Linked DNA regions of Stegostoma tigrinum. The protein of the gene in region 1 purifies or fractionates together with the protein of each later gene. This does not show direct contact. Links are inferred from orthologs where the notes say so. Each region holds a gene or a part of one and is shown in the gene's direction. Other genes may lie near its edges. The genes, in order: eif3ba, eif3d, eif3k and eif3g.

The links.
Region 2: the proteins of eif3ba (region 1) and eif3d purify together in Homo sapiens (affinity purification with mass spectrometry; 10 studies listed by BioGRID and IntAct, with this or other methods). This does not show direct contact. The link is inferred for Stegostoma tigrinum from reciprocal best matches to the Homo sapiens genes EIF3B and EIF3D.
Region 3: the proteins of eif3ba (region 1) and eif3k purify together in Homo sapiens (affinity purification with mass spectrometry; 7 studies listed by BioGRID and IntAct, with this or other methods). This does not show direct contact. The link is inferred for Stegostoma tigrinum from reciprocal best matches to the Homo sapiens genes EIF3B and EIF3K.
Region 4: the proteins of eif3ba (region 1) and eif3g purify together in Homo sapiens (affinity purification with mass spectrometry; 12 studies listed by BioGRID and IntAct, counting the BioPlex papers as one, with this or other methods). This does not show direct contact. The link is inferred for Stegostoma tigrinum from reciprocal best matches to the Homo sapiens genes EIF3B and EIF3G.

The regions. Positions count from the first base shown.
Region 1 is NC_081376.1:1,082,766-1,090,199, reverse strand, and holds the start of eif3ba (eukaryotic translation initiation factor 3, subunit Ba), read left to right. Parts: upstream 1-4,431; 5' UTR 4,432-4,465; coding exon 4,466-4,586; intron 4,587-7,434. Other genes in the region: brat1 (BRCA1-associated ATM activator 1), read right to left, coding at 864-1,018, 2,005-2,131.
Region 2 is NC_081391.1:24,612,962-24,620,692, reverse strand, and holds the start of eif3d (eukaryotic translation initiation factor 3 subunit D), read left to right. Parts: upstream 1-4,731; 5' UTR 4,732-5,295; intron 5,296-7,684; 5' UTR 7,685-7,697; coding exon 7,698-7,731. UniProt on the Homo sapiens protein: mRNA cap-binding component of the eukaryotic translation initiation factor 3 (eIF-3) complex, a complex required for several steps in the initiation of protein synthesis of a specialized repertoire of mRNAs.
Region 3 is NC_081392.1:16,942,036-16,950,053, forward strand, and holds the start of eif3k (eukaryotic translation initiation factor 3 subunit K), read left to right. Parts: upstream 1-5,015; 5' UTR 5,016-5,141; coding exon 5,142-5,200; intron 5,201-8,018. UniProt on the Homo sapiens protein: Component of the eukaryotic translation initiation factor 3 (eIF-3) complex, which is required for several steps in the initiation of protein synthesis.
Region 4 is NC_081388.1:22,375,201-22,383,029, reverse strand, and holds the start of eif3g (eukaryotic translation initiation factor 3 subunit G), read left to right. Parts: upstream 1-4,829; 5' UTR 4,830-4,842; coding exon 4,843-4,931; intron 4,932-5,043; coding exon 5,044-5,090; intron 5,091-7,829. UniProt on the Homo sapiens protein: RNA-binding component of the eukaryotic translation initiation factor 3 (eIF-3) complex, which is required for several steps in the initiation of protein synthesis.

The DNA.
Region 1 (7,434 bases):
AAGACAATAGAAACTCATGTGCTGGAAGTCCATTCGAAAGCAGAGCACGAGTATGGTGAGCTAGGCACGAGGCAGTCACTTCAGAGTGCTGGTGCTGCCCAGGCACAGAACCTGGGGGAATGAACAACATTTGCACTCTCCTCTGCTGGGTCCTCATCATGAAGAAGCATTTGTAAAAATAAACTTAAAAAGAGAGAAACAAAGTAGAGAATTTAAGGAGGTATAGCCAATGTTGGAGGTCCTGGCAGTTGATAGTTAAGTCATAGCTGATCTGAATTGGCAACATTGGTATAAGGATATCTCAAAGCGTTGCATGCTTACAGGAAGTAACAGACATAAGGAGGTATAGGTTTATGTTGGAATTTGAAACTAAGAATGAGAACTTTAGGAAGAATGATGTTGTCTAGCTGAAAGCCAATGCTGGTCAGTGATCACAGAGGTGATTGTGAACAGGACACAGCGCAAGTTAGGTTATAGAAAGCAGAGTTTTGGATGAGATCAAGGCTACATTGCTCTGAACAAATTATCCTGTGTAAAATGAATAGGCATGGCATTTCAAGATACCCGAAGAAAATAACAAAACCAGAAAATGCTGGAAATACATAGTGGGTGCAACAGCATATGAAAAAAGTGGGAGGAAGATTTAATTTTAACATGCACACCCTTTGCCAAATAGAAGTACATACTAGGTGTTGAACTCTTTCATCTTTGTTAGACATAGATATACTGGTCTATGTCCAGAATTTTCACTTTCAACTTGAATTTAATTTCAACTCTAATCGAGCAGTTATACTTGAATACCACAAACAATATTTTTTACGTCAAACAAAAACTTGAAAATAAACTATCTTCTAATTACTAACCTCTAACTGAATAAAATAGTTTTCTGATGCAGCAAATAGTCCAGTCAGCTTCATAATGAAGGAGAGGATGTTAGGGTGAATATCCTTCTGTTTGGATACATTTACAATTATGTTTGTCAGACACGGGATTCTCTGTAGAATATGGAGTTCTGTTTCTGAAGGGAACACAGAAAAGTAAAAGTGAATAAAGTTTTACACAAATTTACTATTCAATTTTAACACTGTAGTTTATAATGTTCCTTTATTTAACATAGGTGTCAGTATTTTCTCCTTCACCTGATGGTATTGTCTTCCTGCAAAGGTCAAGGACAATGATTGCTCACTGGTACAGTGTGAGGTCATATTCACTGTGTCAGCATACTGTTTAATCAGTGGGATAGCTTAGCCAAGATCAATTCTGTATCCAGTCAAATATCCAAAATTGAGCTTTTTAACAGGAATCATTGGTTAACAATCAGTAGTCAGAACTCTACCCAGTCTTCTTCCCTCTGAGGCCAGTTTTAGCGCTATTCTCATTGTGGACTTCTGATTAATCACAGACTGAGGATCACACTCAAGGCATAGTCTTATGTTTTGGTTTCTGTACCTTAAATGAGTTAGAACAATAGTGCAATTTGGAGGTGACAAATGTAATTACATCAACAATATTATAACGCATTAAATTCCCTGGATAACAAAAACTAGGGCAACCAGGCAAATGGATAGGAATGCCAGATGAAACTGAGTAATGCAGACCACATGAACAGAAATCCAAATTTGATGGTTAAAAGAAAGCAGCCAATGTTCAATCCAGACACATAGACATGTTATTTAGACATGAATGGGTCAACCAACTTTTCTGAAAAATAATCTATTTCACCTTAACTTACCATGTCAACCTAGGCACAATTTCTTCAAAATTTGAAGGCTTATTTGAAAATTTCATGGGACGGTTGATGTGGGAGATAAAAAACCTCATTGGTGGCAAAGTATTTTTGCAACAGAATTGATATAATAGCTTTAATATCACAAACTGTAACAAAGGCCAGTACTAGATTACATTAATGTGTAGAAAAAAAATAAATTATACAAATAAAACTCATTTCATACTTGATACTGGTTGTATTAATCATGACTTCAAATTAAGTGAGTATCCAGTTACCATTTTCTGTTGTTCCTCGGAAGCAATCAAGCAGCTTCTCCAAACAGGTATCATCAACAACCGTTTGCCCGGCATCTCCTAAAACTGAGAAAACACGGGGCAACAACTCCACACACTCACTTTCCATTTTCCAATTATATGATAAATTCTCTGATGGGAGGGAAAAAAAACAAAATACAAATCTTCATGCTCTTGTATATTATGCAAAATACCTTCTGAAGAACATTGCCAAAAGTTTTAAATTTGCTACAATTGGCAAGTAGTTCCTCACTATCTTAACACTACCAAAAGATACTTATATTCTCCAAGATGCTCCCATACAAAGCAATTCAACAAATACAACTTGATATTTCATCCCATCTTCAGAAGTATGACTTATCAACATTTTTTAAAGTAATTATGATTAATTGTTCATGTGTATTGTGCTGAATATCAAAATAATGGTTTTTTGGAACAGATGTGTTTAAGTCTGGTTTCTCCTTTTCGTTATAACAACTTGCATTCATTCATAAAATATTATGAATAAAAGTAATGCACACACTGAAAATCTGAAATGAAAACAAAAACAGCTTGAAATACTCAACTGTGTGGCACTGGAGAGTGAAACGGAATTAATATTTCACGTCAACGACTCAGTTCTGAATAATCATAGATCGGAAACACTGTCAACTCCACTTCATTTGCTAAAAAAGCGGCCAGCCTTGCTGAATAATTCCAGCTTTTTCTGTTTTTAGTAGTTTATATTTATACCTTGATAGGAAAGAATATATCAGAAGCAAACATATCTAGTGAACTCTGCTAAAATTTGAAAATGATCAACATTAATACTCTTAGCTTCAGAGTTACTTCTGCTTAGTAAGGGCAGATGTTGGATACACAGGAAAGGTTGTAGACTCTAGAGTTCTTTATTAAGACAGACTTAGGAAAAACAAAGACAATAAATCAGCAAAAAGGGCGATGGAGAGGTCAGTTCTCGATGAGGCAAAGCCAGGGAATTACATTTCAGAAGGGGTGTAGGTAAGACAGGAATACAAGTTGTCAATATTTTAGAGTAGGAACAATGTGTCTTGTGATAGGCCAGATGTAGCCCGAGGATCACCTTAACACTAAATTTAGCCCAGGCGCATGGACAAAATAAGGTAACTGTAACACTACTGTGGTTTGAGAATATCTTTGTTCCAAGCGTACAATTGTTACATTTTGTTGCAGAAGAACTTCGGTAAGTCAGATTCTAATAGATATGCATTTTTTATTTTAAGACCATACGACATGAGTGGAAGTATTTTGTAAAATACCAAACACGAACTGAAAATACTCATTACAAATGATACTTTCAATCTGATCCTATTACTTTGATTGCTGACGTCTGTCTTTCTAGAAGAATTCACTCGCACCTTTCATAGAACATAGAATAGTACAGCACAGGAACGGCCCTTCAGCCCGCAATGCTGTGCCGACCATGACGCCAAGGTAAACTAATCCCTTCTGCCTGCCCTTGGTCCTTATCCCTTAATTCCTTTCCTTTGACATTAAAGAAGTTAAGGAAAGGGGAAGGCAAAATGCCAGAAACACTCAAGGTCAGGCAGCATCTGTGGGGAGAAAAATAGAATTAACATTTCACGTCAATAATGTTTTAATAAGCAAGTTTAGGTATGTTTTCGGCCTGGCATCCTAACTATAAAACAGTCAGTAATAAATCTAGTAGAGAACTCAGAAGAAACTTCCTTTCCCTGAGGGCGGATAGAATAAGTGGTTAAAGAGAATGGCATAGGTATTGAAAGGTTAAGTAAATGAGATAAAACAAAAACACCGAGAGGGTAAAACAGTGAATGGAGGAAGCTGGCGTGCAGCACTTGTACCAACCAGTTAGGTCTAATGGGCCATTTGTGAGCCGCCCATTCTAGAGGCATCCATGTCAGTGAAATAAACTACAAGGTGAGGGAAGATTAAACTGGACACTGTCCTACAATCAAAACTGGGAAAAGCGGACTCTGGCTCCACTACAACAATCGCCTTAAAATGACCTGAGGTTTTAATGTAAACAGACACCTTGCGTGAACAATCAACCCAAAGGTAGAGAGCGCGGATACGAGCACAAACCAAACGAAGCCATCGCCATGCCCTCCAGCAGACGACCTGGACTGGATCACCATTCACAGTCAGGGGGGAGCATTAGGAATGTTCCACAACAAATCCTCAACAGTAGCGGTGATTCTCACACAAAATCAGCGAATTATAGTAATAGATTTTCAAAAATATACGTATGTAAACTACCTCCGTTTAACAACCGGTAATTTCCTCCAAATCCTATCTATATGTCAGCGCTTTCGCCCCTCTGATTGCTTTGGAACAGGCGAACCGGCGGGACCGCGCATGCCTTGCACCCCCCCTTCCCCCAGAGAGGCCCGGCCGCGCACTTCCGCGCTCGCTCTTTCTTTTCCGGCCGCCCAGCGAAAGCAGGATGAAGGAGACGAGTGGGGATGGTGAGGCTCGGGAGGCTGACGATGAGTTGGCAGAGCTGGAGGAGCCCGAGGAAGGCTTCAGCGACCCTGAAGGCTTCGAGGATGACATCTCCGATGAGGGTAAAGACAATGAGTGGGGTAGCTTTCGGTATTCGCACACATGGAGGGGAACCGGTTCATATCCCCAGCCCATGTGCGTTTGGGAGTGACTGGAGCCTGAGGCCTAGGCTGGGCCTGGACCCGGATGAGCAGGCAGGTTGACTGGGTCCTGGCTGATAGAGCTGGAACACACTGACTTGGGAATGACACACATTATTAATGATCATAAATTCAGTAGTGTCTAGTGTTGTGACAAAATATTTTTTTTCCAGAAAGATAGCCTGTACAGTGAAGGGAGGTGAATCATTAAGCGACAACTGCAGTTCTTCATTTAAACTAGGGAATCCGCTTTTTCACTTGAAAGTATTTTCACACACTTTGTTTAAAATAACTTAATTAGAAATCACTAGCCTCCGTTTGATCTGTACCATTAGAAGTGTATGTCGTAGTGACGCAAATTACAGTTAAATAAGGTGCAGTATCCGGTGTTAACATTGTATGAACTACAGAGTGGTGGATGTAACTGCAACTGCACAGTTCTTCAATTCAATATCACTTTAAATGTCTTGTACTCTTGTGTAACCTATATTGAGAAGGGTGCAATGCAATATGGGATCCTTATAAATTAGATGAATATGCAATGTCTTCCATGAGATAAAAGGAAAAACATGTTCACACCAGAACCAAATCATTCTGTAAACATTACAAATGTAATTTTAGCATGGTTATAAACTGATTGCTAGCTGATTAGAAAAATCTGTAATCAAAATATTTTAAATCTGTAGTTAATCTGATCCTCCAACAATAGCAAATATTCACATTTCATGTACTACAGGCACTTTATATAAAATCAATTAATAAGATTTTGACATAAAGGTGCAAAATTAGCTCAATTGGCACATTGAGTCTGTGGTTCCATTCAGTGAGATTGTAGCTGGTCTAATAACCCTCAAATCCCCTTTCCTGCCTTTTCCCCATAAACCCTTTATTCCTTTACTGATTGATTGAAAATTTGTTGATCTCAGTCTTGAATATACCTAGCACAACCCAGCTTCTGCAGCCCTCTATGGTAAAGAATTCCACAAATTCACTATCCTTAGAGAGAGGCAACTCTGCTCCAACTCTCACCTAACTGGGTGACCCTTTACTGTAAAATTATTCTCTTTGATCCTAGACTCTTAACACAAGGGGAAGCAACATCTCCACACCTTCCTGGAAGAATCTAAGTAAAAGTCACCTTTCATTCATTTGGACTCCTGTGAGTACAGGCCCAATCTACTCGACCTTACCACATAAGACAATTCCTCTGTATCCAGGATCAACCTAATTGACCACTCCTATTTTGCCTCCGGTGTCAGTTATACTTTTCATGAGATGGGGATATCAAAACTGATTGCAGTATTCTGTAAGGATTCTGTAGTTTTAGCAAGGTTTTCCTATTTCCTGCTGAACTTTCATATGTTAGTGTTTTAGAAACCATTCGGATGCCCTCACAGACTACCAGATACCTCTGTGCTGCAGCTTTCTGCTGTCTTTCTCCATGTAAACAATATTTAGCTGTTCTGCCTTGGCCAAGTGCATAACCTTACATTTTGCCACGTTATATTTAAATTGTCAAATATTTGCCCACTTGCTACATGTCTTTGCAGACTGCCAACCTCACCACTTGCCTTCCCACCAGTTTTCTTGTGTCATTGCAAACTTGGTGATAGTATACTCACTTGCATTGTCTAAATAATTGATATATCTTCTAAATAAATGTGGCCTGAGCACTGATCCCTGTGGCACACCACTGGTTGTGGATTGCCATCCTAAACGTGCCTCCTTGTCCCAAGTCGTCTATTGTGTAGACAAGCTTGTATCTGTGCTAATATACTACTTCCAATGCCGCACGTGCTCAGAACTCTCTTCCTAACTACATTGTGTGTCCAAATGGACTGCATTGCTTCAATAGGGCAGTGCACTATTACTTTTTCATGGTGGGCAATAAATCCTGGCCCCGCCAGCATTGCCCACATCCCATGAATGAATAATAAAAAAAGTAGTCTGACATACGTCGCTTATCCAACACCTTCTAGAAATCCAAATCTTTTACATCCTCTGGTTAAATGGTCTGACCAGAAACATTAACTGTAGTTGAATATTTACTTGTGGTATTCTCCAGATAGCAGATGCACATACTGTAGGACAGTGGAGAAGTGAAAATGAGAACAATTGTTGGATCACTAAACGGATCTGACAACAGCTCTGTTTAAAGAGAAGCTGAATTAATGTTTCAGATTGATTTTTTTTTCATTGCACATGATTGTGCCAGTCTTGGCTTAGTTTAATCTGACATTTTAAGCCCAAGATTCCGTGTTTAAGTTATACGCTGTGGCTGGAGCACAAAAACAGAAATGACACTCCTGTGCAGTACTCAAAGTGCTAATTGTCATTGGTGCCATCTTGTGGAAGAGACATTAAATGAACTTCCTATGAGTCTGCATGGGTAAATCCAGAAGTTCCCATAGCACTTCTCTGAAAAAGTGTTGGACTGTGCTTTCTAATGTCCTGATCAATATTTATCCATCAATGAGCATGCCAAAAAAATACAGATTTTCTGTCTGGTGTCTATTGTATTGATCTATGTGGAAGTTTGCTGTAGGCAAGTTAGCTGCTGTGTTCTGAAGTTAGATTATGACTACTCGTCCAAAGTATTTCATTGGTTGTGAAGTAGTCATCAAAATATATGCAAATGTATGTCCTTTATTTTCAATTTCCTGCACTCCTATTTTGTTATGCGAAATAAAATTTTCATGTGAGGGCACCAGTTATATTTTATTCAGAGATAGTGGGAACTGCCGATGCTTTAGAATCTGGGATAACAAGG
Region 2 (7,731 bases), on another chromosome or scaffold:
CACCCACAGGACCCCGCTCCCAGACAGAGCGAGCACCCACAGGACCCCGTTCCCAGGCAGAGCGAGCACCCACAGGACCCCGCTCCCAGACAGAGCAAGCACCCACAGGACCCCGCTCCCAGACAGAGCGAGCACCCACAGGACCCCGCTCCCAGACAGAGCGAACACCCACAGGACCCCGCTCCCAGAGCGAGCACCCACAGGACCCCGCTCCCAGACAGAGGGAGCACCCACAGGACCCCGCTCCCAGACAGAGCGAACACCCACAGGACCCCGCTCCCTGACAGAGCAAGCACTCACAGGACTCCGCTCCCGGACAGAGCGAGCACCCACAGGACCCCGCTGCCGGACAGAGCGAGCACCCACAGGATACCGCACCCGGACAGAGGGAGCTCCCACAGGACCGCGCTCCCAGACGGCGCGATAACCCACAGGGCCCCACTCCCAGACACAGCGAGCATCCACAGGGCCCCGCTCGCAGACAGCGTGAGCACCCACAGGGCCCCGCTCCCAGAGCGAGCACCCACAGGACCCGGCTCCCAGACAGAGCGAGCACCCACATGACCCCGTTCCCAGACACAGCGAGCACCCACAGGGCCCCGCTCCCAGACACAGCGAGCACCCACAGGGCCCCGCTCCCAGACACAGCGAGCACCCACAGGGCCACGCTCACAGACAGAGCGAGCACCCACACGGCCCCACTACCAGACACAGCGAGCACCCACAGGACCCAGCTCCCAGACAGAGCGAGCACCCACAGGTCCCCGCCTCCAGACAGAGCGAGCAGCCACATGACCCGGCTCCCAGACAGAGCGAGCGCCCACATGACCCCGTTCCCAGAAAGAGCGAGCACCCACAGGACCCCGTTCCCGGACAGAGCGAGCACCCACAGGACCCCGCTCCCAGACAGAGCAAGCACCCACAGGACCCTGCTCTCAGGCAGAGCGAGCACCCACAGGACCCCGCTCCCAGACGGCGTGATAACCCACAGGACCCTGCTCCCAGGCAGAGCGAGCACCCACAGGGCCCCACTCCCAGCCAGAGTGAGCACCCACAGGGCCCCGCTACCAGACAGAGCGAGCACCCACAGGGCCCCACTCCCAGCCAGAGCGAGCACCCACAGGACCCCACTCACAGACAGAGCATGGACCCACAGGACCCCGCTCCCAGAGCGAGCACCCACAGGACCCGGCTCCCAGACAGAGCGTGCACCCACAGGGCCCGGCTCCCAGACAGAGCGTGCACCCACAGGACCCGGCTCCCAGACAGAGCGTGCACCCACAGGACCCGGCTCCCAGACAGAGCGTGCACCCACAGGGCCCGGCTCCCAGACACAGCGAGCACCCACAGGTCCCTGCTTCCAGACGGCGTGCACCCACAGGACCCGGCTCCCAGACAGAGCGTGCACCCACAGGACCCGGCTCCCAGACAGAGCGTGCACCCACAGGACCCGGCTCCCAGACAGAGCGTGCACCCACAGGGCCCGGCTCCCAGACACAGCGAGCACCCACAGGACCCGGCTCCCAGACAGAGCGTGCACCCACAGGACCCGGCTCCCAGACAGAGCGTGCACCCACAGGACCCGGCTCCCAGACAGAGCGTGCACCCACAGGGCCCGGCTCCCAGACACAGCGAGCACCCACAGGTCCCTGCTTCCAGACGGCGTGCACCAGTATTTCTGAGAAAAGTCACTGCAAGTATTTTAAAACAGACCTGATGTCAGGGCTGTACGATCATAAATTCTCCCAATTTGGGGAATCATTACTCAATAAAGCTGAATCTTTCCTGCTTTTCAACTGAAATCGAGGTCATCTTCATCACTTCGAGCCAGTCACAAAAAGAAAGTAGCTCAAACAAACTTACCCACCACTGAGAAAGCTGGAGGAACGTTTACAAAATGCGGTGAACTGCACCTACGCTAATTTAGATTCTATTTTATTATATCTTACAATAAAATATGAAGATCATGCTTCTACATATTGTACAAAGATAATGTTTTGAAAGAGAAATGTTAAATAAAAATATTTTATACATTTTCAGATTTCTATTTTGTAACATCACTCTTTAGAAAGATTTCCCTCAAACTTTGTCTCTGTTATGTGTGATACCAATTAAAATCAGTGAAGGAATTACTCTGGGAATTAGAAATAATGACGGCAATTTTAAGCTTCAACTTTTGACCTCGAGAAGAGAAAAAGAGAAAGGTTCAGGATGACATAGTGGGGCTGACAGCTTCTTGAGAGCTGCAGGAAACTGAAGAAAAATGCTTGGCCTTTTCACTAGAACATTACATGGAGTGACCTGATTGAGAGAAGATAGTGTGGGGCTGGATGAACACAGCAGGCCAGGCAGCATCAGAGGAGCAGGGAAGCTGACGTTTCAGAAAGGGTGGGGGAGGGGAGAGGTGGGAAGGGAGCTGGGAGATAAATAGAGAGGAGGGGTGGGGCTGGGGGAAGTAGTTGGGATGGTGATAGGTGAGTGCAGGTTGGGGGTGGTTAGGTGGGACAGGAGATGGACAGGTTGTGTCAGGTCAAGGAGGGGGGAGGATGAGAGGGAGAGTTGGACACGGGATAAGGCCAGGGGTGGGTGGGAAGATTTTGAAACTGGTAAAATCCACATTGAGACCATTGGTACGTAGGCTCCCAAGGCAGAAGATGAGGTGCTGCTCCTCCAGTTTCCGGGTGGTGTTGTGTGACACTGGAGGAGGCAGGATGGACGTGTCGTCCGGTGGTGGGGGGATAGTTAAAATGGTTTGCAGCCGGAAGGTGTTGTCACTTTTTGCAAATAGAGTGTAGATGCTCTACAAAGGAGTTATTATTATCATCACAGTTATTATTATAATAAGTGGTTATTATCACATTGCTGCTGGTGGGAATTTACTGTTTACAATTTTCTTGTTTCCTTGTATTCTTCACTGATGGGATGTCGCTGGCTGGGCCCAGCATTTATTGCCCGTCCCTAGTTGTTCCTTGAGAAGGTGGGGGTGAGTTGCCTTCTTGGATCGCTGCAGTCCCTGTGCTGTAGGTTGACCCACGATGCCCTTAGGGAGGGAATTCCAGGATTGTGACCCAGCACCAGTGAAGGACGGCGATACATTTCCAAATCATGAAGGTGAGTGGATTGAAGAGGAACTTGCAGGAGGTGGTGTTCACATGTATCTTGCTGCCCTTGTCCTTCTAGATGAAAGTGGTCGTGGGTTTGGAAGGTGCTGTTTGTGCTCACTGGATTTTTGCAGGGCATAACCTATTTTGAGATGACGTGCTCTTCCTCAGTCTCTTTTACTGCAACTCTTTGCATCTCGCGCTCAGTCCCTCTCCATCATAGGTTCAGTTTCCCCGCTCGATGACTCTATGACATAACCAGTCCATGCTAACCATGTTCCTAAGTGAATTCCGCCTGCCTGTGCTTGGCCCATATCCCTCTAAAACTTTCCTATTCATGAACTTATTCAAATGCCTTCTAAATGTTGTAACTGTACCTGTGCCCACCACCACTGTACCTGTCCTTTGGCAGCTCATTCCAGGCACAACACCCTCTGCGTAAAACAATTGCCCCTTAAGTCCCTTCTAAATCTTTCCCTTCTCGCCGATGAACCTAGTTTCGGATTACCCTCCATTCGGGGGCGAAAAGGTCTGTTATTCACCTTACCAAGCCCCTCATTACTTTAATAAACCTCTGAGCTCACTCGTCTCCCTGTTTCTATCCTTGTCCTCTCTGGCAGTGGTTCACATTCTCTCAGATAATGAAATGTGAGGCTGGATGAACACAGCAGGTCCAGCAGCAACTCAGGAGCACAAAAGCTGACGTTTCGGGCCTAGACCCTTCATCAGAGAGGGGGATGGGGAGAGGGAACTGGAATAAATAGGGAGAGAGGGGGAGGCGGACCGAAGATGGAGAGAAAAGAAGATAGGTGGAGAGGAGAGTATAGGTGGGGAGGTAGAGAGTGGATAGGTCAGTCCAGGGAAGACGGACAGGTCAAGGAGGTGGGATGAGGTTAGTAGGTAGATGGAGGTGCGGCTTGGGGTGGGAGGAAGGGATGGGTGAGAGGAAGAACCGGTTAGGGAGGCAGAGACAGGTTGGACTGGTTTTGGGATGCAGTGGGTGGGGGGGAAGCGCTGGGCTGGTTGTGTGGTGCAGTGGGGGGAGGGGATGAACTGGGCTGGTTTAGGGATGCAGTAGGGGAAGGGGAGATTTTGAAACTGGTGAAGTCCACATTGATACCATTGGGCTGCAGGGTTCCCAGGCGGAATATGAGTTGCTGTTCCTGCAACCTTCGGGTGGCATCATTGTGGCACTGCAGGAGGCCCATGATGGACATGTCATCAAGAGAATGGGAGGGGGAGTGGAAATGGTTTGCGACTGGGAGGTGCAGTAGTTTGTTGCGAACTGAGCGGAGGTGTTCTGCAAAGCGGTCCCCACACACGCTCACATTCTCTCCACTGGTTCTAGTACTGTCCCTGGGGCAGTGGCTGTGCCGCCATTCCTCTCCCGCCCACCTGGGTGGCGCTGTGTGGGGTGGGTGGGGGGAGCGGCGTTCAGTCACGGTGCGGACCATCTTGGCGCCGCTCGCCAGCTCCGTGTGGAAGCGGCCCGCGGAACACTGCCGTAAAGCGGATTTCAACCCGCGGCGCCCAATTCCCGATTTCCATCAAAGCTGGTGCCCGTTGGGATTTATCTAAACCAAAGCGCCGAGAGAAACACGGCTCCGGCCTTGGGGCCGTCTTCAGGTCTGCTATTTAAAACGATTTAATCCGACAGCACATTCACGACATTGTCGTGGTGTGGACCCGAACCTCCTTTACGGTGGTGTGGCAGAAAGTCGCCGCCTCTTTTAAACGAATCATCGCCCCCCAGGATCCGCTGGAGAATGTTCCCCGAGTCTGAGCGGAAAACGTGACAGTTACGGGGCACTGTCTTGCGACCGACTTTACGGCAGCGCTGTCGCACCCATCTGCCGCAACGTGGCGGCTCCGTTTTACGGCACCTTACGACCTCCTTCCCGTGCCGGACTACGGCAGTTTGTAGACACTGAGGAAGGGCCGCCGGACCCGAAAACGTTTTAACTCGGGTTTTTCTTTCCCTTCACAGACGCTGCTGAGCTTTTCCAGCAAATTCCGTTGCTGTGTTCCTGCTTTACGGCAGTTTGCGGCCGTGTGGCGCCCCCGCGGGTTTGGACGTTTTACGGCGTTTCGCTGCCGGGTAACGGCCCCGGTTTACGGCGCTTTACGACAGCGCGGCGGCCGGTTGTTGGTGTCTGTGAAGCTTCGCGGATCCGGCGGCGGCGGCGGGAACCAGGTAAGAGGCGGCGGCTCGGGCCCGCGGGGGGCGCCGGGGGGGGGATTGTCCGCGGGCGTCGGGCCCCGAACCAATACCGGGGATCGGGCCTGAGGCCTCGGGCCTGGCCCTCGCCCTGCGTTTGTCTAGCGCCTGAGGCGGGCATTGAGTTGTCGTTCCGCCGGGCACTGGCCAGTTGCATTGATGTAGCCGCCTGAGCGGTGTCGGCGCAGGTTGGTGCCCGGAGAGGGACAGGAGCACAGGATCCGGGCACAGCCCCCCCCCCCCCCCGGGGATCCGGGCACAGCCCCCCCCCCCCCGGGGATCCGGGCACAGCCCCCCCCCCCGGGGATCCGGGCACAGCCCCCCCCCCGGGGATCCGGGCACAGCCCCCCCCCCCGGGGATCCGGGCACAGCCCCCCCCCCCGGGGATCCGGGCACAGCCCCCCCCCCCGGGGATCCGGGCACAGCCCCCCCCCCCGGGGATCCGGGCATAGCCCCCCCCCCCCGGGGATCCGGGCACAGCCCCCCCCCCCCCGGGGATCCGGGCACAGCCCCCCCCCCCCCCCGGGGATCCGGGCACAGCCCCCCCCCCCCCCCCCGGGGATCCGGGCACAGCCCCCCCCCCCCGGGGATCCGGGCACAGCCCCCCCCCCCCCCCCCCGGGGATCCGGGCACAGCCCCCCCCCCCCCCCCCGGGGATCCGGGCACAGCCCCCCCCCCCCCCCCCCCGGGGATCCGGGCACAGCCCCCCCCCCCCCCCCCGGGGATCCGGGCACAGCCCCCCCCCCCGGGGATCCGGGCACAGCCCCCCCCCCCCGGGGATCCGGGCACAGCCCCCCCCCCCGGGGATCCGGGCACAGGCCCCCCCCCACCCCCGTTATTCAAGAAAGGTGGTCTGGGTAAATTGGACATCAATAGGCCACCTTGACTCTGACACAAGTGGTAGGGAAACTCTTGAAAAGAAATTCTGAGGGACATAATTAATCTCTACTTGGAGAGTCAAAGATTAATGAAACATGACATTATTTAGGGGGAGATCATGCCTGATAGATTTGATTCAGTGATTTGTGGAGGTGACTGGATGTGTGTATGAGGGTTGTGCAGTGGATGTAGTCTGCATAGATTTTGGTAATGGTTTTGCCAGGGCTTCACATGGTAGACTGGTCAATAAAGCAAGAGCCCATGGGATCCAGGGCAGTTTGACAATTTGGATCCAGAATTGACTTAGCAGCAGCAGAAGGCGGGGTATAATAGTTGACGAGTTATTTTTGTGACTAGGAGCTTGTATCCAGTGGTGAATGCAAGGCTTGGTGCTGGATCCTTTACTGTTTTTACAGCGTATTAATGATCTAGACGTGAATGTAGGAGGTTTAATTGGTAGGTTTGCAAATGACACAAAAATTGGTGGCATAGTAAATAGCGAAGAGGTAAACATTACAGTACAGAATTGTATTGACAGGCTGGTCATATGGGCTGAATTATGGGCGAGTGGAATTTAATCCTGAAAAGTGTGAGGTGATACCTTTTGGGAAGACTAACAAGGCCAGGGATGATACAAAAAATGGTGAGACCCTAGCAGGTGCAGAGGGTCAGAAGTGCCCTGGTGTGTGTGTCCACAGAACCTTGAAGGCAACACGTGTTTGAGGTGGTTAAATATTGGGATTTTTGCTTTTGTTAGTCAAGACATTGGTAGTTATGATGGAGCTGTGTAAGATATGAGTTAGGCCGCAGCTGGAGGACTGCGTGCAATTATGATCACCAGTGTAGAGGAAGGATACGATTGTGTGAGAGAGCTGTGTAAGATATGAGTTAGGCCGCAGCTGGAGCACTGTGTGTCGGTCTGGTCCCCATATAGCTGGAAGGATGTGATTGCCCTGGATGGGGTGCAGAGGAGATTCACCAGGATGTTGCCTGGGCTGGAGGGATTCAGTGAAGCAGAGAAACTGGATAGGTTTGGGCTGTTTTCGTGAGAGCACAGAAGGCTGAGGGAGTGGGGAGTGAAATCTGACAGATATACAAGATTATAAAGGGCGTTGATAGCGTGAGTAATCAAAATGTCACAGTTTTGGAGGAAGGAGCCAGATGTTTAGAGGCGATTTAAGAAAAAATGTTTTGACCGAGAGGGTGCTGGAGATTTGGACCTCACTGCCTGAGAAGGTGGCAAAGGCAGGAAGCATCACAACATTCAAAAAGTGTTTTGCGCTTGAAATGCCCTGCCATACGAGGTCAGGGCTGAGTGTTGGAGAATAGTCATCGAACACCAAGCTGCTTTCGCCCCAATGTGGAGGTGATGAGATTTTCTATGTAACCCTTTCAGGTGGTAGTGAGCTGCTTTTGTGAATGGCTGCGGCTCCCCCCGGCTCTCTCCCTCCTGCCATTTATATGGTGTTTGGGTGTCTCTTTGCAGCTGGTTGTAGAAGATGGCACGATTCCTGACCCCTGTGATCCAGGATA
Region 3 (8,018 bases), on another chromosome or scaffold:
ACGCGGGCCTCACGCATGGCAGGAAAGAATTCTACCGCTGAATCACAAATGCAAGTAATGTTTTGCAGTTTAGAAGAGGACCCCATCAGTCTAAGACTTTACCAAAACAACAATGTCTTGAAATGAGCAATATTTGGTTTGGGCGGGGTGGGGGTGGGGAAGAGGACCGGAATGAGTAAATGTTAGATTTTTTTTTAAATTTAAAAAACATACCTAGTATAGGAATCAGGAGCATGAAAGTAGTAAACACGACAGAGTCACCAAGGCTGAACTGTATTGATGAGAGGATGTCAGTCAAATTAAGAAGGCTGCAGGGAACAGGAAGAGATACATTCTAAGGAGATTTAGTCCAGCTTGGTGTCATTGACTACCTCTTCGTCAAAGTAAAAAGAAGCAACTTGGTTCGACAACACTTGCAAAACCAGTCAAACATGATTGCTTTTCTATGAAGAAAAACATGGTTAGATGCCACTAAGTAGATGGCAATGCCTTAACCATTTGTGTGTTGTAAGGCCACTAGGACCCCTTCCATCCTTATCAAGGGGAGTGCTAACCTTCTCTCCTTTCATACAACACAGCTGCTGTAATCGGTAAGGACAATATTTATACTCTGGGCTATCGACACTTATTTTGGTCAGTGTGATAGTCTGACTCTTTCTAATATGTACGTCATACTTGAATTCTATATTTGTGTGTATTTAAAGCACATTGTGGAAAATCTGAAAATCTGTTAAAAGAAATATACAGTTTGATTTTCTGACCAAAGTTACGAAGACATATCATGCTAATTTATACAGGTTTCAGCCAATGGACATTCACTTCACATCTGCAGCTCAATCAATCGCTCAAAGCTTGAACAAAACAAAAGGGAAATCAGTCCGGCCAGTATACAGCTCATGAAAACGGGAAAATGTGACAGAGAGTTAGATAGCAGAGTCTGAGAATGATTACAGTCTTAATGGTTGGCCGCCATGTACCTTCCAACTCCTCAGTTGACTGCGCATGCTCAACATGTCGAGCCGCTCCCCCATTCAATTGTATGTGAGGGACTGTACATTGTACTATTTACATATGAATTTATTTAAAATTAAAACTAAAATCATTGTTTATAATCACTATCTGTATCTGATGTTTCCAAGATGCTAAAAGAATAGAGTAAATCAGCACAGAAAAAGACAGTTCATTCCACAATGTTCTTTTCCAGCAATTACTAAAAATGTTGGAATGCAGTCAGTAACCGAAGTTAGGTTCTTACAGTGACATTCCAAGGATCAGGTCGTGAGTCATTGACAATCATTATTAAGGAAGCACTGGAAAGTGTAGAGGCAGCTGATACATATGCCCATATTTTAAAAGGGGGAAGACCTGGGCAAGTAGAGGTTACAGAAAGAGGGTAGGAAATTGGAAGTTTTGGTAGAAGATCAGAAATGATCGTACTGATTGCAAAAGAAAATTTTAGAGGCTGCACAGCCCATTTCTGCTTTTGCAAGCATTGCAGCTAGAAGCATAAAATTACAAATATATAATAGACTTCACAAAATGAGCTAAGTGAAGATAGATCTCAATATAAACTCCTCTGAGATAATAGGAACTGCAGATGCTGGACAATCCGAGATAACAAGGTGTAGAGCTGGATGAACACAGCAGGCCAAGCATCATCTTAGGAGCAGGAAAGCTAACGTTTCAGGCAGGGTCTAGGCCCGAAACGTCAGCTTTCTTGCTCCTAAGATGCTCCTTGCCCTGCTGTGTTCATCCAGCTCTACATCTTATTATCTCAATATAAACAAGTGTGAGACCCAAACCACTTTGGATCTAAAACGTGTAGATTGAAATATTCTGTAAATGTTCTTTTATTTATTTCATGGCATGTGTGCATTGTGGGTTGGACTAGCACTTATTGCTATCTGTAGTTGCTCTGGAAAAGATGGCTGCCTTCTTGAATCACTGTAGTACATTTAGTTTTGATGCACCCACAATGCTATTAATTATTCTGTGTGAAGCTGGATGAACACAGCAGGCCAAGCAGCATCAGCAGAGCAGGAAAGATTGACGTTTCGGGTCGAGAAACTTCTTCAGAAATGGGGGAGGGGAAGGGGATTCTGAAATAAATAGGGAGTCAGGGGGAGGCGAATAGAAGATGGGTAAAGGAGAAGATAGGATGAGAGGAGACAGACAGGTCAAAGAGGTGGGGTTACAGCCAGTGAAGGTGAATGTAGGTGGGGAGTTAGGGAGGGGGTAGGTCAGTCCAGGGAGGACGGACATGTCAAGGAGCTGGGATGAGATTAGTGGGTAGGAGATGGGGGTGGGGCTTGAGGTGGGAGCAATGTTTAGAGAGGCAGGGACTAGTTGGGCTGGTTTTGAAGCTTGTGAAGTCCACATTGACACCTTTGGGCTGCAGGATTCCCAACCGAAATATGAGATGCTGTTCATTCAAACCATTTCATTCATTGAAATGGTTCACAACTGGAAGGTGTAGTTGTTTGTTTCAGTTCACAACGAACAACTACAGCTCCCAGTCATGAACCATTTCAACTCACCCCCTCAACTCCTTGGACGACATGTCCATCCTGGGCCTCCTGCATTACCACAATGATGCCACCCAAAAGATGCAGGAACAGCATCTCATATCTCGCCTGGGGACCCTGCATCCCAAGGGTATCAATGTGGACTTCACAAGCTTCAAAATCTCCCCTCCCCTGATCACATCCCAAAGCCAGCCCAACTAGTCCCTGCCTCCCTAACCATGCCTTCCACCTCAAGCCCCACCCCCATCTCCTACCCATTAACCTCATCCCACCTCCTTGACCTGTCTGTCCTCCCTGGACTGACCTATCCCCTCCCTAACTCCCCACCTACATTCACCTTCACTGGCTCTAACCCCACCTCTTTGACCTGTCTTTCTCCTCTCAACCTATCTTCTCCTTTATCCATCTTCTATTCGCCTCCCCCTGACTCCCTATTTATTTCAGAATCCCCTTCCCCTCCCCCATTTCTGAAGAAGGGTCTTGTCTCAAAATATCAAACTTTCCTAGTCCCCTGATGCTGCTTGGCTTGCTGTGTTCATCCAGCTTCACATCGTGTTATCTCAGATTCGCCAGCATCGGCAGTTCCTAATATCTCTGTATTAATTGTTCTGTTGTTTTAGGATGCTGAAATTTTCAGATACAGAGAGCGATTTTCAAATAATGATTTTAGTTTTAGGTATATTTTAGCAAAAAATGTATATGGTACTATGTACTGTCCCGTACATGCAATTGAATTGGGTGTTGACACTGCATATTGGGGAGTTCCAGGATTTTGACCCAGCAACACTGAAGGAATGGCTATATGTTCCAAAGTCAGGATGGTGAGTGGCTTGGAGGGGAACTTGCAGGTGGTGGTGATAAAGAGTCATAGAATCTCTACAGTGTGGAAACAGGCCTTTTGGCCCAACAAGTCCACACTACCCCTCTGAAGAGCATTCCACCCACACTCATTCCCCTAATTTCCCATGTGCAACTCACCTAACCTAAAAATCCCTGGGCACTTTAGGCAATTTCACACAACCAATCCACCTACCCTGCACATCTTTGGGCTTCGGAGGAAACCGGAGCACCCAGAGGAAACCCATGCAGACACAGGGTGAGTATACAAACTCCACACAGACAGTTGCCCAAGGCTGGAATTGAACCTGGATCCCTGATACTGTGAGGCTATGTTGGGTCAGGGTGGCACTGAGCCACCGTGCTGTCCTGACCCAACCATATTGTATTAGATCTGGAGTCACATAAGGCCAGACCAGGTAATTATGGCATTAATGAACCAGATTTTTTTCAACAGACCATGACTTCATGGTCATCACTAGCTTTTTAGTTCTGCCATAGTGGGTTTCAAATCCAGGTCCCTTATATCACTGTAGCTGCTCCTTAAATAGTACAAAGCTTGAAACAGTGGGGATACAAAGAGACTTAAGGGTGTAGTTAAATAGTTCATTAAAATGTCATAAACAGGTACAAAATATAAACAGAACAGGTTATGGAATGCTAGAGCAAAAGGAATACAAAGGGTGAAGTCCTGCTATTTTCACTTTGAAATTCAGCTATGCAAAGATTCGTTGAGTCTTTAGAGAAGTTATATTGGCCTTGAAGGGATTTCCAATTGTAGTTCTGTAGCTGTGACACTATATTCTGCATTCTGTTCTATTATCTTGATGTACTGATGTAAAGTATGATTTGCCTGAATAGCACACAAAACAATACTTTTCACTGTACCTTTATAAATAATAAATCAAATCAGTGGTTAAATTGAAAGGACAAATTACACCAACTAACATTGTTATTCATGGATTTTAGAAGATTAAGAGATGTTTCATTAAATTTTTCAAGAAAGCTAGGCAGAGAGAAACTATTTCCACAGGACAGGCTATGTAACTTTGTAGAATGAATATATTCCACCTAGGAACTCTTCACCCAATCTCCTTGCCTGCGCAAGTCCTTCTGCAACCTCTCCACTACCTGTCCCTCCAAATTTTATTGTTTTTTTAATTTTCTTGTGGGGTGTGGGTATCGCTGGTTGAGTCAGCATTTATTGCCAATCTCTATATATCCTTGAGAAGGTGGTGATGAACTGCCTTTTACAACTGCTGCAGTCCATGTTATAGGGAAAGGGCAGGAGAATGGGGTTAAGAATCATATCAGCCATGATCGAATGGCGGAGCAGACTTGATGCACCGACCAATTGGCCTAATTGTGCTCCTACGTCTTATGTTCTGTGTGGGGAGACAAAAACTGCCATTATGGAGGATATTAACTTTAAATATTGGAAAATAATTGCACTGCACAGATAATCAGGAGTAAGCATGATTTATCCAAAAATTGCTTGGTAAAAGAAATCGGTTCATCCATATCTGCAAGAAAGACGGACTGCAGAATGTCAAAGAATAGACACTAAACGTATCCAATCGAGTTTTAGCGAATGCGCATGCACCACATGCTACCGCCCGTAGGGCCCATTGCACATGCGCGGGTCCGGCGGTCCTGCGCATGCTCGGTGGCCGCTTTCCCCTTTGACCTCACCGGGCCGGTAGAGACGCGTGTGTCGAGGCCTTGCCGCTTGTTCTAGGCCCGAGAGAAACACCGAGTGTGAAACCAGGAGTTGCAGTCATGAGCGTCATCGAGCAGATGAGAGCCAATGTGGGCAAGCTGCTGAAAGGCATCGACCGGTGAGAAGGGCAGAGCCCTGCGCGGGGGGGGGACGACGACAACGGGCCCATAGCAACCTTTATCTAGCACCCCGTAGCAACAAATATCTGCATCTGTGTAGCGCCTGACACGTCGTCAGGACAGACCCAAGTGGCTGAAACCCAATGCGATATGTCCTGAAGAGCAGTCGCTTCCTTAATGTGGGAAAGGTTGTCACTGCAGAGCAAGATCCCACAATTAGCCATGGATGGGAAATGTTGACTATATGTGGGGTGTGTCGGAACACCAGGAACAATTCTTTTCTAACTCCCCCCCCCCCGTTTTGAAATAGCCCTGACCAGTGGGGTTAATATTGTTTCAGAGATAGTAGGAACTGCAGATGCTGGAGAATCTGAGACAACAAGGTGTAGAGCTGGATGAACACAGCAGGACAAGCAGATCAGAGGAGCAGGAAAGCTGACAAAATGGTCTAAGCCCAATACTTAAGCTTTCCTGCTCGGCCTGCTGTGTTCATCCATCTCTACATCTTGTTACGTCTGACAAATGGGTACCTTGCTCCAGTATTTCACCTGAAAGACACAGCATCCCTGACAGGGTAGTACTCCCCCAGTACTGTACGGTGACTTTTTTTAATGGAAGTACACTGGAACATACTAATTAAGACCAGATTGGTCTTCCAGCCCCTAAAGACATTTTTGCTATCCAGTAAGATCATGGCTACTTCACCCAACAAGGCCCTGGCTGATCATTTTGTGTTGCTATTTCTGTCTGATAACCTTTGATTCATACAACAGTACAGCACAGGGATGGGCCCTTCTGCCCACAATGTTGTACCAAACATGATGCCAAATTAGACTAATCCATTCTGCCTGCCCTTGATCCATATCCCTCCATTCCTTGCATATTCATGTGCTTTCTAAAAGTCCTTAAACACCCCTATCATATTTGCCCCACACCACACCTGGAAGTGCGTTCCAAACTCCTACCACTCTCTGCGTTAAAAAAAACACTTGCCCCTCATATCTCCTTTGAACTTCCCCCTCTCACCTTAAATGCATGCCCTCTAGTTTTAGACATTTCAACTCCAGGAATAAGATTTTGACCATCAACCCTATCTATGCATCTCATAATTTTATAGACTTCTGTCAGGTCTTCCCTCAGCCTCTGCTGCTCCAGAGAAAATAAATCGAGTTTTTCTAGCCTTTCCTTATAGCTCATACAATCTAATCTAGGCAGCATCCTGGTAAGCTGACGTTTCGGGTCTAGACCTGAAACGTCAGCTTTCCTGCTCCTCTGATGCTGCTTGGCCTGCTGTGTTCATCCATCTCTACACCTTGTTATCTCAGATTCTCCAGCATTGGCAGTTCCTACTATCTCAGCATCCTGGTAAATCTCTTCGGCAGTCTCTCCAAAGCCTCCACTTCCTTTCCGTAATGTGGCAATCAGAATTGAACACAATACTCTGTGTGGCCTGACTAAAGACTTATGAAGCTGCAACATGGCATCCTGACTATTTTACTCAATTCTGTGACCAACAATGGCAAGCATACCATTTGTCTTCTTTACCAGCCTATGTACTTGCGTGGCCACTTTCAGTGAGTTATAGACTTGAAACCAAGGTCCTTCTGTACATTATGTTTTAGCAAGCAGATATTTTAATATTTCAGTTCAGTTGTGACTTCTACAAATACAGTTATCATAGCAAACCTTGAAGGGTTGTTGCTGTTATTGAGGCATTTGAGATAATTCTTTGGTTTACACAATAGTGAAAAGAAGCCTGGATTTTGCTTTCCTGTGGAATGTATAGGAAATGTGGTAATATTAAAGGAGGTTGCAGAGATCATAAGAGCCAGGGCTACCAATTTTTGATTTGTTTTTTAAAAACTGTTGAACATTTGGCTATTATATACCATGTATATGCTTAAGATACTTGTGAAGACTAGTGAGTGACCTCCAGCATCCTTTTTGAAGGAGCAGGAAGGTAAGAACCTTTAAGTGTATGTAAAGATTATTTGTAAAAATGAAAATTTCTGGAACATAGTAATTTTGAAAGAACTATTCCTTAACAGGTTACAACCAAAGTTCTGTTTTGCACCTGGAGAACAAATACAAATTCCTTCTGACTTTTCATGTAGTTTAAACAACTGCTTTCTCTTTAATAGTGAGCGAAATGTTGAAATCCAGACTTCTCTATTTTGGAAATGTATGAGATGAGGGACTCTCAGGGGAATGTAGTGCTGACAGCCTGGTTTCTGGTACTGAGACTGTCTGTAATGTAACGAGGGGTACGTCAGATTCAGAGGCAAAGACAGGTATCCTGCCATCGACAGCAGAAATATCAGATTGCTGTGTTGCCTCCCTGGTACCAGATCAAGGATACTGTGGATTGCAGAATGTTCTCAAAGAGGAGAGGGACCACCAACAGGTCACTGTATACATTGGAATTAGTGACATAGGAAGAGAAATGGATGAGACTGACGAGTGAATACAGGAAGTTGGGCAGGAATTTAAAAAGAAGGTCCTTGAGGTTAGTAATAACTGGATCACTCCCGGTGCCACAAGATAGGGAGGGTAGGAATAGCCGGATAGAGCAGATGCATGCATGGCTGGAGACCTGGTGCAGGGAAGAAGGATTCACATTTTTGGAACTTTGGGATCTCTTCTGGGATAGAAGTGACCTGTATAACAAGGATGAATTGAATTGCAAGGGGACTAATATATTCATGGGAAGGCGATGACCTAGTGGTATTATCGCTGGACTTTTAATCCAGACACCCAGATACCTGGGTCTCCAGACCGTTTCGAATCCCAGAATGGCAGATAATGGAATTTGAATTT
Region 4 (7,829 bases), on another chromosome or scaffold:
TACAGGAGGGTACGGTAATTACAGATACAGGAGGGTACGGTAATTACAGATACAGGGGGGTACGGTAATTACAGATACAGGGGGGTACGGTAATCACAGATACAGTGGGGTACGGTAATTACAGATACAGGGGGGTACGGTAATCACAGATACAGGGGGGTACGGTAATTACAGATACAGTGGGGTACGGTAATTACAGATACAGGGGGGTACGGTAATCACAGATACAGGGGGGTACGGTAATTACAGATACAGTGGGGTACGGTAATTACAGATACAGAGGGGTACGGTAATTACAGATACAGTGGGGTACGGTAATTACAGATACAGAGGGGTACGGTAATCACAGATACAGGGGGTACGGTAATTACAGATACAGGGGGGTACGGTAATTACAGATACAGTGGGGTACGGTAATTACAGATACAGGGGGGTACGGTAATTACAGATACAGAGGGGTACGGTAATTACAGATACAGAGGGTACGGTAATTACAGATACAGGGGGGTACGGTAATCACAGATACAGGGGGTACGGTAATTACAGATACAGGGGGTACGGTAATTACAGATACAGTGGGGGACGGTAATTACAGATACAGGGGGGGACGGTAATTGCAGATACAGGAGGGTACGGTAATTACAGATACAGAGGGTACGGTAATTACAGATACAGGGGGGGACGGTAATTGCAGATACAGGGGGGTACGGTAATTACAGATACAGAGGGTACGGTAATTACAGATACAGGGGGGTACGGTAATCACAGATACAGGGGGTACGGTAATTACAGATACAGGGGGTACGGTAATTACAGATACAGTGGGGGACGGTAATTACAGATACAGTGGGGGACGGTAATTGCAGATACAGGAGGGTACGGTAATTACAGATACAGGAGGGTACGGTAATTACAGATACAGGGGGGGACGGTAATTGCAGATACAGGAGGGTACGGTAATTACAGATACAGTGGGGGACGGTAATTACAGATACAGTGGGGGACGGTAATTGCAGATACAGGAGGGTACGGTAATTACAGATACAGGGGGGGACGGTAATTGCAGATACAGGAGGGTACGGTAATTACAGATACAGTGGGGGACGGTAATTACAGATACAGTGGGGGACGGTAATTGCAGATACAGGAGGGTACGGTAATTACAGATACAGGGGGGGACGGTAATTGCAGATACAGGAGGGTACGGTAATTACAGATACAGGGGGGTACGGTAATTACAGATACAGGGGGGTACGGTAATTACAGATACAGTGGGGTACGGTAATCACAGATACAGCACATTCTCCAAACCAGCAGTCTTAAGGAATCTGCTGAAACCACCCACTCCCGCCATTCTCCGTCCTGAGTTGAAGCTGCAGGAGGGGAACGCGAATGCTGTGGGGTTTTACACCGCAGCGTGGGAATGTGGAATTGATGTTCGAGAGTGATGACAATATGCTGGACAGGCAACACAATGAGCAGAAATAAAATGTCCTCAAGGTAACGCCAGGTCAGGCCACTGTGCAGCATGAACAAGTTGAACATAAAGACGTTTTTGCTGCACTAACGTGGTTTTCTTTGAGATTTTCTTTTCCACCCACACGTCTCCAGGAAAAGCTGGGTACGGGGGAGAGAGCCAACTATCTCATCGTGTGCGTACATGGAACAAGCTGCAACAGGATGTGACAGAGGTGGATACAAATAGTACATTTAAAAGGCATTTGGACAGGTACATGGAAAGGGAGCCAAATGCATGCAAACAGGACTAGGACAGTTTTGGAAACCAAGTCGGCATGGACAGGTTGGGATGAAGGGCCTGTTTCTGTGCTGCTATGACTCCCCTAAACATGATTCTGTGGGCAAATGCCTTACGATTGGCCTTGCTGTTTTACTGTCAAAGAAAAATACTTTAGACGCTGCAAACTTGAAATAAAAACAGAACGTTTAAATCTGGTGGTCTCTCTGGTAAGGGAAATGCAGTAAATACGTTGATTCGAGTATAATCATTTTTGAGGAAGGATTCCGAACCGTGGTCAAAACACACTTTCCAGTTTGCATCACTGCCGAAGATATAATCTGTGATTTAAGGAATGCATAGTTTCTAATCGTTACTCAACATCAATAATAAAAGCTGTTTTCAGTTTGAAATATCCGATCAATGCAGCAGATAGCGTGACCATTACATGCTCCACTGAGAAAGGCTGCAGGAACTTGCCATGTTTACTGTCATACTGATAACAACAAGACATTTCTGTTTCTTTTTAATTCTCTCTGCTCTTTGCAAGGATGCTTGCAAACCCTTATCCTTCTTGAATGCCCCAGGATCATTTAAACATGTTAAAAGATCCACAATAAATGCAACATGTTGGAAATTTTAAGAGTTTTCTTAAACAGTTCTGTGATCGGGCTTCACTTTTTGGCCTTGCAGCATCGGGAACAGAAACAGGAACAGGCCACTCATCCCGCAAGTCTGTTCTGCCATTCAGTCAGATGGTACCTGCTCTTTACCGATCATTGGTCCAGATTTACAATTACACAATATTCTATCAATCCCAGACTGAAATCTCCAACTGAAACCAGATCTCCATCTGAGTTCCAGATGTTCCCTATTCTTTGTGTGAACAGGGATGTGTTTCCTGGTTTCACTCCTAATCAAGCATATCTTCCTCAATCCAGGATCTCACAGAAATTCTCAAAATACAAGCAAAAGAACGTGGCTGCTGGAAATCTGCTTAGAACCGTAAGAAACCACGGGAAGTTGTGGGTACAGCTCACACCATCACACAAGCCAACCTCCCATTCATGAACTCCATTGACACTTCTTGTTGCCATGGAAAGGCTGTGAACGTTGTCAAAGACCCCTCCCGCCCCAGTGATAATCTCTTCTCAACCTCCTCTGTCAGGCAGAAGATAATAGCAGCTTAAACATATGTACCAACAGGTTCAAGAACTGCTTCTTCCCTGCGGTTATCAGACTGCTGAATGAACCTCTCCCATTTCAAATAATGTTAGTCTTGCTTTGCGCACCTTCTGAGCAGTATACGCTGTATGTCTCACTCTGTCTGAGCACCCTGCCATCTGTATGCATCAAAGGAGCAGCAAGGTTGACTTTTTAGGTGTGGGGCCTTCTTCAGAAGAAAGTTTTCTGAAGAAGGGTCCCGACCGGAAATGTCTTCTTTCCTGCTCCTCTGATGCTGCCTGGCTCGCAGTGTTCATCCATTTCTATACCTTGTTATCTCAGGCTCCAACATCAGCAGTTCTCACTATCTCTGTGATCTATATGTCCTTGTTTGCTATGACCTACCTGTACTGCTCGCAAAACAAAGCTTTTCACTGTACTCAGGCACATGTGACAATAAACCAAATCAAATGAAAAAGATTCTGGGTAATTCAACATGGAGGATGGGGAAAATTTGTGGCTGTAGGAGCTGCTCCTTTTGAGGTATTTTCAGTGGTGAAGATGGTTTCCTTGATTTTTTGGAGAAGTAATTACTGTCTTTTGAGCAGTCACGTTGTTTTGAAACTTTGGAAGAAAAAGTCAAAACAACAGCACTTTAAAAAGGAGGAAGGCAGACAAAGTAGAGACCACATGGGGAAGTGAAAAGAAATCAGCAGTGAACCTGCACAGCTGACTGTGTCTTTTGTTTAGTAACAAGTGTGTCTGGATAACTGAGTTCCTGAGAATAATGAAGGAACAGTGAAAGTGATGGAGACTGGTACAATTACAACATTTAAAAGGCATCTGGCTCATTATATGAATAGGAAGGGTTTGAAAGGTTGTAGGCCAAATGCTGGCAAATGGGACTAGATTAATTTAGGATATCTTGTCAGTATGGTTGAGTTGGACAAAATTAATGAGGCAGCACGTCGCTCAGTGGTCAGCACCGCAGCTTCACAGCACCAGGGACCCGGGTTCAATTCCAGCCTCGGGTGACTGTGTGGAGTTTGCACGTTCTCCCCATGTCTGCATAGGTTTCCTCCGGGTGCTCCGGTTTCCTCCCACAGTCCAAAGATGTGCAGTTTAGGTCGATTGGCTGTGCTAAATTGCCCGTAGTGTTCAGGGATGGGTCCGGGGGCGTGGGTGGATAATATTCTGAGGGTTGGTGTGGACGTGAGGGAGGCAGAGAAGGCTGGGCTGGTTTTGGGAGCCCAGCTCTTCCCCTCCACCCACTGCATCCCAAAACCAGCCCAGCCTGTCTCTGCCTCCCTAACCTCTTCTTCCTCTCACCTATCCCTTCCTCCCACCCCAAGCCACACCTCCATTTCCTACCTCCTTGACCTGTCCGTCTTCCCTGGACTGATCTATCCCCTCCCTCCCTCCCCACCTATACTCTCCTCTCCACCTATCTTCTCCTCTATCCATCTTCGGTCCGCCTCCCCCCTCTCTCCCTATTTATTCCAGTTCCCTCACCCCATCCCCCTCTCTGATGAAGGGTCTAGGCCCGAAACGTCAGCTTTTGTGCTCCTGAGATGCTGCTTGGCCTGCTGTGTTCATCCAGCCTCACATTTTATTATCTTGGATTCTCCAGCGTCTGCAGTTCCCATTATCCCTGCATCTTGTTATCTCTCATATGCCGACGGGCGCTGTTTTGTATGGTTATTCAGTCCGTCCAGCCTGCAGGTGGCGCTGTATTGGGAGGTCACTGTGTCCGCCCAGCCTGAGGGTGGCACTGTGCAGGGAGGTGTCAGTGTCTGCTCAGCCTCCGGGTGGCGCTGGTTTGGGAGGTCGCAGCCTCTGCCCAGCCTTTTGATGGCGCAGTTTTGGGAGGTCACTGCACCTGCCCAGCCTCCGGGTGGCGCTGTGTTGGGCGGTTACTGTAGCTGCCCAGCCGCCGGGTGGCGATGTTTTGGGAGGCCACCGTATCCGCCCAGCCTGCGGCCTATCTCCGGCTCTCTGGATGCGCCCGGTTCCGGTTCACTATGGATTTCGAGTGAGTGCGGGGCTTGGGCTCGGAAACCCTAGGAGAGGGTGTGAGTTACTCGCGGAGCCGCCAGTCTCTCCGTCGCTAACCGGAACGTGTTTTGTTTCTCTCTGCCCCGCAGCTCGAAGCCCAGCTGGGCCGACCAGGTGGAGGAGGAGGGAGACGAGGGTAAGGAACAGGCCTCAGGCCGGGCCCCACACGTGGGCCGGGTCCCAGCTACCGCCGCCGGGGCAGCTCCCGCTGAAAATAATCGGGATCCTGGGTCACGAGCATTACCGCCCGTCCCTTCCGGAGATTGGGGGGGGGGCGGTAGTGTGCAGCGGGAACGGGGCGTGTGTGGGGAGAGTTGGGGGTTGGGGGCGTGGGGGGGAGAGTGGGGGCGGAGGGGGAGTATGTTGGGGGGGAGAGTCGGGGGGGAGGGGGAGTATGTGGGGGGGGAGAGTCGGGGGTGGAACGGAGTATGTGGGGGGGGAGTCGGGGGGAGGGGGAGTATGTTGGGGGGGAGAGTCGGGGGGGAGGGGGAGTATGTGGGGGGGGAGAGTCGGGGGTGGAACGGAGTATGTGGGGGGGGAGAGTGGGGGCGGAGGGGGAGTATGTTGGGGGGGAGAGTCGGGGGGGAGGGGGAGTATGTGGGGGGGGAGAGTCGGGGGTGGAACGGAGTATGTGGGGGGGGAGTCGGGGGGAGGGGGAGTATGTTGGGGGGGAGAGTCGGGGGGGAGGGGGAGTATGTTGGGGGGGAGAGTCGGGGGGGAGGGGGAGTATGTTGGGGGGGAGAGTCGGGGGGGAGGGGGAGTATGTTGGGGGGGAGAGTCGGGGGGGAGGGGGAGTATGTTGGGGGGGAGAGTCGGGGGGGAGGGGGAGTATGTTGGGGGGGAGAGTCGGGGGGGAGGGGGAGTATGTGGGGGGGGGAGGGGGAGTATGTGGGGGGGAGAGTCGGGGAGGAGGGGGAGTATGTGGGGGGGAGAGTCGGGGAGGAGGGGGAGTATGTGGGGGGGAGAGTCGGGGAGGAGGGGGAGTATGTGGGGGGGAGAGTCGGGGAGGAGGGGGAGTATGTGGGGGGAGAGTCGGGGAGGAGGGGGAGTATGTGGGGGGAGAGTCGGGGAGGAGGGGGAGTATGTGGGGGGGGAGTCGGGGGGGAGGGGGAGTATGTGGGGGGGAGACGGAGTATGTGGGGGGGGAGTCGGGGGGAGGGGGAGTATGTGGGGGGGAGACGGAGTATGTGGGGGGGAGTCGGGGGGGAGGGGGAGTATGTGGGGGGGGAGAGTAGGGGGGAGGGGGAGTATGTGGGGGGGGACGGAGTATGTGGGGGGGAGTCGGGGGGGAGGGGGAGTATGTGGGGGGGAGAGTCGGGGGGGAGGGGGAGAGTCGGGGGGGGGAGAGTCGGGGGGAGGGGGAGTATGTGGGGGGGGGAGTATGTGGGGGGGGGAGTCGGGGGGGAGGGGGAGTATGTGGGGGGGGAGAGTCGGGGGGAGGGGGAGAGTCGGGGGGGAGGGGGAGTATGTGGGGGGGGAGAGTCGGGGGGGAGGGGGAGTATGTGGGGGGGGAGAGTCGGGGGGAGGGGGAGTATGTGGGGGGGGAGAGTCGGGGGGGAGGGGGAGTATGTGGGGGGGAGAGTCGGGGGGAGGGGGAGTATGTGGGGGGGGAGAGTCGGGGGGGAGTATGTGGGGGGGGAGAGTCGGGGGGGAGGGGGAGTATGTGGGGGGGGAGAGTCGGGCGGGAGGGGGAGTATGTGGGGGGGGGGAGTCGGGGGGGGAGGGGGAGTATGTGGGGGGGGAGTCGGGGGGGAGGGGGAGTATGTGGGGGGGGGAGTCGGGGGGAGGGGGAGTATGTGGGGGGGGAGTCGGGGGGGAGGGGGAGTATGTGGGGGGGGGGAGTCGGGGTGAGGGGGAGTATGTGGGGGGGGGGAGTCGGGGTGAGGGGGAGTATGTGGGGGGGGGAGTCGGGGTGAGGGGGAGTATGTGGGGGGGGGAGTCGGGGTGAGGGGGAGTATGTGGGGGGGGGAGTCGGGGTGAGGGGGAGTATGTGGGGGGGGAGTCGGGGTGAGGGGGAGTATGTGGGGGGGGGAGTCGGGGGGGAGGGGGAGTATGTGGGGGGGGAGAGTCGGGGGGGAGGGAGAGTCGGGGGGAGGGGGAGTATGTGGGGGGGGGAGGGGGAGTATGTGGGGGGGGAGAGTCGGGGGGGAGGGAGAGTCGGGGGGAGGGGGAGTATGTGGGGGGGGGAGGGGGAGTATGTGGGGGGGGGAGAGTCGGGGGGGGAGGGGGAGTATGTGGGGGGGGGAGAGTCGGGGGGGAGGGGGAGTATGTGGGGGGGGAGAGTCGGGGGGAGGGGGAGTATGTGGGGGGGGGAGGGGGAGTATGTGGGGGGGGGGAGAGTCGGGGGGGAGGGGGAGTATGTGGGGGGGGGGAGAGTCGGGGGGGAGGGGGAGTATGTGGGGGGGGGAGAGTCGGGGGGAGGGGGAGTATGTGGGGGGGGAGAGTCGGGGACGGAACGGAGAATGTGAGGGGGGGACGGAGTATGTGGGGGGGGAGTCGGGGGGAGAGATGTGGGGGAGGGGGGAGTATGTTGGGGGGAGGGGGAGTATGTTGGGGGGGAGAGTGGGGGGAGAGGAGTAGTATGTTGGGGTGGAGAGTGGGGGGAGAGGAGTAGTATGTTGGGGGGGAGAGTCGGGGCAGGAGGGTGAGTATGTGGGGGGGAGAGTCGGGGGGGAGGGGGAGTATGTGGGGGGGGAGAGTCGGGGGGGAGGGGGAGTATGTGGGAGGGGAGAGTCGGGGGCGGAACGGAGAATGTGGGGGGGAGTCGGGGGGAGGGGGAGTATGTGGGGGGAGGACGGAGTATGTGGGGGGGAGTATGTGAGGGGGGACGGAGTATGTCGGGGGGAGAGATGTGGGGGAGGGGGAGTATGTTGGG